Linked DNA regions of Kluyveromyces lactis. The protein of the gene in region 1 interacts with the protein of each later gene in a biochemical or structural test. Links are inferred from orthologs where the notes say so. Each region holds a gene or a part of one and is shown in the gene's direction. Other genes may lie near its edges.

Region 1 (3,525 bases):
TATTTATTCATGTACATCATCTGTAAAATAGTGTTGTATTTTCCTTCAAGTCATGGAACAAATACTGGTTTTCCACAACGTGTAGTGCAGGAATATCCAGCAAGGCACCACCACGGGTTATAGCCAACGTTCCGGTCACGTCTTTGGCCTTACCGGTGTCCAAGGGTCTCACCGACAGTACTAGGAAACTTTTATGGAAACATGAAGTGGTAAACCTTACAAACTCGACGGTATCCTTACCCAGATGTTCTGGGAAATCGTTATCGAAGGACTCCACAGAGTTGACGACTATAAGTAAGGAACATAGTTTAAGTAAAGGGTTGATCAATTTCAAATGCAACTCGTCACTGTTCAACTTGAAGAGTGCCATTAAAATTTCCGGTTTTTCCAATATTACCACTGAAGGACTGTTGGATAACGACTCTTCAAACTGCTTCAAAACCCATTCAATAACTACATCCACAGGTTTACCTACGTTTTTGACAACAAGATCCTCTGCTATTTGTAAGACGTTGTATCTATTCCGTGGTACCTTCAACCTGTCAAATGCAGTTGTAAAATACGATTGATGGTTCAAAAACGATCCGACTACCACTTTCACGGGATCACTGCTGCTCAAACCGCTATTGGATCCACTGTTATTCCCATTTAAAGAGACGGGCCCACCTAAAGTGACCGTTTCCACAAGTGCGTTGACAAACCAGGATGCATTCGTCGCTACCGTATCTGTCACCAAAACCAAATTGGATGACGAATCTGTGAATAGATGCCTGGAAAGCACAGAATGGTCACTAAAAATCTGAAGCTCCTGTTTTTGCACCGACATATCCCTTGTAATACGTGCTCAAAGAGTTACGAGCAGCTGAATAGAGCCGGTGGTACCAACAAGAAACGTCATCTCATCGCATCGTTTGCTACTATTTCATTTTGAAATTCAACCTGTAAAGTATAAAAAAAAAAAAGACAAAAACTGGGAAACACCAGACACAACAAAACAGCAGAAAAGTAACACTTCCGGTAGTTAACCTCGAACATGGATTACATTACTATGTACCTTATAATCAGGCCTATTTAAATATTTAGTTCTTATTCAAAAATAATAGTTCTACCGGAAGTAAATTACCACTTTCCGTTGCCAAATTCACCGAAATTGCTCGTCTTTTTCTTCTGGGTTCATGAAAAATTGTGTCCAGAAAGGTTTAAAAAAAACACACGAACCGAAATGACGATAACAAACACAACGTCAAACTGTTTAAATAGCAGACGTCTGTGCCTCTTGGTTGTGGTTTATCACGGACTGTATCACTGTTGCCGTTTGTTCGTGTGGCATTTAACCTTCTGAATTGTGTTTCTTTTGTTCCAAGAGTACAGGTTTTCTTTTTAGCGAAGTGATTTTATCTGGGGCTTAGGTTTTACGGGCTTAGTTGTACTTGGTTCACTTTGACACTGACGGTATCAGTAAGAGAGTTTCTGCTGGATTCAGATTCATTCATAGAACAAAGGACGAGCAAAAGAACGGACGAAAAAAAATGGATGATTTAGGTGAACAATTGAGTGAGGGCCATAAAGACGATTACGACAATGGAATTGGCTCTGTGCCTGGAGGGTCTGGTTCCAACGGTAAGGGGAAGAGTCAAAGGACGTCGTTCAATGATTTTGTTAGAAAATTGTTTCTAATATTGGAATCAGAGGAATATACCAGCATTATATCGTGGTCGCCTGATGGTAAGAATTTTATAGTGCTAGACACGAATAAATTTACGACGGATATCTTGCCTAAACACTTCAAGCATTCGAATTTTGCGAGTTTTGTGAGGCAGTTGAACAAGTACGACTTCCATAAAGTCAAGAGGAAGAAGAACGAAGTGTCTGAGGGGATTCAAAACGCGTGGGAATTCAACCATCAGTATTTTAGAAGACACGATGAGGCAGGGTTGGATAACATTCGCAGGAAACCGTCATCACAGAAGAAAATACTGGTGGATGAGAACTCCGTAATAGTGAGGAAACTAGGTGGTGCACCCGGAGACGATGGTGCCTTCATTGCCGGTGACGAAGAAGGTATGACTGCGAAGATGCTTCTGAAAAACACGGTGAACAAGACCAAATTCAACCAATTAAAGCGGAAGGTGGAAGACATGGAAAACCAGGTCCAGTATCTAACAAATGAGAATCATAATATGAAACTGGACCTTCAAAAGATTCAGTCTAAGTACAATATGGCGTTGGAAAGTCTCCTTTCCACTGAATCCTTTAACTCCCAATTAATTTCTAATTTCCAAATTCTTGTCGATGCGTTATCGCAGCAGGGTTTAAAAGTACCCGTAGGTTTATCCTTCGAAAAAGGTAATTCTCGTGCGGATAATAAGTCTCATCAGCAACGTCAAATATCGGACTCAACCGGATCAACACCCAATGCAAATATCCCAGGGCTGTCGGTTAATACTACGTTACAGAAACAGGAACCCATTGAGCTACTTCCGATGGACCAACATCCTGTCTTGCGTCCAGGATTCCACGTTTTACTTGTCGAAGACGATTCTGTTTGTATCCAACTCTGCTCCAAATTCTTAAGAAAATATGGTTGCTCAGTGGAAGTGGTTACTGATGGATTATCTGCCATTTCCACGCTGGAAAAACAGCGATTTGACTTGGTATTGATGGATATTGTTATGCCAAATTTAGATGGTGCTACAGCGACATCCATTGTTAGAAGTTTTGATAATGAAACTCCCATCATTGCCATGACAGGTAACATCGATGATCAGGACTTAGTCACTTACTTACAACACGGTATGAATGATATCCTAGCTAAACCGTTCACAAAAGATGACTTACACTCGATGCTAATACGATACCTCAAAGATCGGATCCCGTTGTCTGAACAAAGACAAAATTCTAATAATGACCCTAAAGCGTATGTAGAGGAACCAATGCTAAAGAAACCGCACATATAAGACAGTTAAGGTATCCTTCATGCTGCTATCAAAAAAAAAGATAAAAAGAGAAATGGGCCAGAAAACAGGACACTTCATTTCACTTCAAGAACTCTTGTTTGTTTTCTTTCTCCATTATTTTAAACACCAAAAAAGTCCTCTTTTATTATACGTTTGGTCTGTGCTTTTTCGGTTATTAATTCTATTCTGTACTTCCTATTATTGATGGTACATCGATCAAAAGTACGGTAAAGTTGTATCTATATCCTTCTTATTACTTATAAAATTATTGGTTTTAGTAATTATCTTTCAATCTTCGTCTCGTTGGATCTTTTATGACGTTGACAGATGAGTATATTTGTGTATACGTACAGGTATATTATGTATGCTCATTCGAGTATGATAAGCAGAGTTTTATTCTTCTTCGACGGCCAGTGTGACATGGCTATTGAATCGCACAGACATTCTTCTCTTGGAATTGACATCGGATGGGATTTCTAGATCGAACTCATCACCGTTTTCTAAAAGTTCCTTGAGACTTGGTCTGCAACTTTTCATTGAGGATTTCCTCCTTGCTGTGGTAGATGAA
Region 2 (2,464 bases), on another chromosome or scaffold:
GACGTCATAAAGTGCCGTATCTTGTTTCATTGTAACGGCAAATAATCAAAGCATTACCACCCTTCTGGTAGAAAGCATCGATCGGAGAGGGTAAATTGTTTCCCATTCACACGGTCCTTATTTACCCAACTGAGTGCTTCGAATGTCGCATCAAAGCTTGCAATGAGGAATAGCTCAATAAGCAAGAGACAAATACATCTCAGTTCTGTCAAGTATCCTTCATCAGTAAGAAATAAATATATTGCAGGTTATTGAAAATATTGGCTGCAGATGGTCTAATGCTTCGGAGGAAATCATGTTTCTTCTTATAAGAATTTGGCGCCTATATCGTACTCAGATGGCGTACGCATTTAGTTACATCAAGGAAATAATTGCTCTTGTTTTTGTCCTTGAGTAGATTAGCTTTTTCTCTATCAGTAGTGGGAATTAGCATTATGCTTCTACCACGATTTTTTTATCCTTTTTCCGTCACTAGGAACCAAGGCACCTTACGAAAGAGTTACGTCAACTAACATTAAGAAGAAAACAGATAAAAGGGTTTCTGTCTATCAAGTTGAATATCTTCGAACGAAGACCTATGTAAGGACAACAGGGTATTTTTCGGGCAGGTTTCTTCATTTTTTTGCTAAATAACACTGCCAAGACTAGCATCAAGTCACAGTTGTTGTACTTGTGATGAAGATTGGCCCTTTTCAAATAAGTTTCCTGCTTCAATTACTTGGCTTGAACAATCAACCTTTTTGTCTTGCCCAGAAAATGAAACAACCAAGTGAAGTTTTTCAACTTGGCAGCTTGCATATACATTCTGTTGGCAGCAATTAGGCTCAAATATCCAGGATTTGCAACTTCTGTCATTAAAGACGTTTGATTCTAAAAACTTATAATACATCTCTTTTCGGATTAAGCTCTTTTCCTTACTTTTTTCCACATATGATTATTTTCATTTTTTAATTTTTTTTTTTTGAATCGAAATATTCGAACTTCTCAGTTAAGGTGCAATTGATCAAGTGTAAGACTACATTTGAAAGAATTCATATAACGGGGTGTGCAATTGAAGCTAATCCATTTCTGTTAAGACAATTGTATATACAAAAAGGTTTCTTTTGTTATATCTATCTGTCTTTGTTGAACGGAAGTCTCTTTATTTTTTTTTTTTTTTTCGCTATTGATTCGGAGCTGCCGATACTTAATCCATTGGAGTTTTGTTTCATTTTGCTTTTGCAATATTGAACTCTTCAATACATGCTAATTTACTGACCTTCCATTGAATAAACCGACCTACCCTGATACACGAGAGAATCATTCAGTGACTTTTTTTAACGAAAAGCACAATATATAATGTCCCAAACACCTAGAATTCCAGATAAAGTGATCAATTGGGATATTCTCAATGAAATTGTTTCCATGGATGAAGATGATGCTGGCTTTTCACAATCCTTACTAATACAATTCTTTGAGCAAGCGACTTCTACCTTTAACCAAATCGAACAGCACATCAAAACTGATAAGAACTTGGATCAACTGGGACAGCTGGGACACTTTTTGAAAGGATCTTCGGCATCCCTAGGTCTACAGAGGATTGCATGGGTTTGTGAGAGAATTCAAAATTACGGACAGAAAAGAGAAGGATCCGGTATTACAGACGATAATTATATACAATTGATTCAAAATTCTCTGGATCTGGCAAGGAAAGAGTTTGACTCGGCCAAGAGCGAACTAGGGCAGTACTACAAAACTCAATTTTAAGTTTACTTCTCTGATTTTTACAGGCAACATATTCTCTTTTCGCATTTGAATGAATTTATCTCATTTCAGACCTTTTTCATCCCCCCTGTATTTTTATTCCATTCCATGCTATCTGCGGACTATATTGACCCCATATCTGTGCTGCTATTCTCATTCATTTGAACGATATGATAAAGTCTGCAAGCACACCTCTAGTGACATTAGTCTCGCTTTTGATGGCACCTTTCTAGTAAGTAGACTGAATATTATTACTTATGTACTCTAAATCGTACTGCCCTGCTTATATAGGCTTGAAGCCTGTTTCAACGTATCTAAATGATGTTACTCTATCATAGTGTCTTAAATGTAGATTATTTAATGTTAGACTTGTAGAGCACCACTTAGTTCTGGTGAGAAGTCAGATCTGGATCTTCCATGTCTCCAAGTGCTTTACCATTGAGAAACGTGAGTTCCTTACGACCACACCTGTCAAGTAACTCCTGTGGAAAATACTCTTGCAGAACTTTTCCATCTTTAAAGTTTGGATTGTATTTGTAACCTTTCCCATATCCCAACTCTTCCATCATCCGAGTGGGAGCATTACGAATATGTAACGGGATGGGACAATCAGCTGCTCCAGATTCGTTCGTTTTAAGCATTGCCTTGAGTTTGTTCCACCCTCGATACAATTCTACCGATTTTGATGCTCTACTTAAGGAGACAGCACATTGAGCAAGAG

What was found.
Region 2: of the proteins of SKN7 (region 1) and YPD1, one has a biochemical effect on the other in vitro, tested with the Saccharomyces cerevisiae proteins (2 studies listed by BioGRID). The link is inferred for Kluyveromyces lactis from reciprocal best matches to the Saccharomyces cerevisiae genes SKN7 and YPD1.

What each region holds. Positions count from the first base shown.
Region 1 is NC_006037.1:895,402-898,926, forward strand, and holds SKN7 (kinase-regulated stress-responsive transcription factor SKN7), read left to right. Parts: upstream 1-1,529; coding exon 1,530-2,957; downstream 2,958-3,525. Other genes in the region: Elongator subunit ELP6, read right to left, coding at 17-826; SET5 (S-adenosylmethionine-dependent methyltransferase), read right to left, coding at 3,351-3,525. UniProt on the Saccharomyces cerevisiae protein: Transcription factor that is part of a SLN1-YPD1-SKN7 two-component regulatory system, which controls gene expression in response to changes in the osmolarity of the extracellular environment.
Region 2 is NC_006040.1:1,627,234-1,629,697, forward strand, and holds YPD1 (Ypd1p), read left to right. Parts: upstream 1-1,338; coding exon 1,339-1,746; downstream 1,747-2,464. Other genes in the region: ssDNA-dependent ATPase MGS1, read right to left, coding at 2,127-2,464. UniProt on the Saccharomyces cerevisiae protein: Phosphorelay intermediate protein that is part of the branched SLN1-YPD1-SKN7/SSK1 two-component regulatory system, which controls activity of the HOG1 pathway and gene expression in response to changes in the osmolarity of the extracellular environment.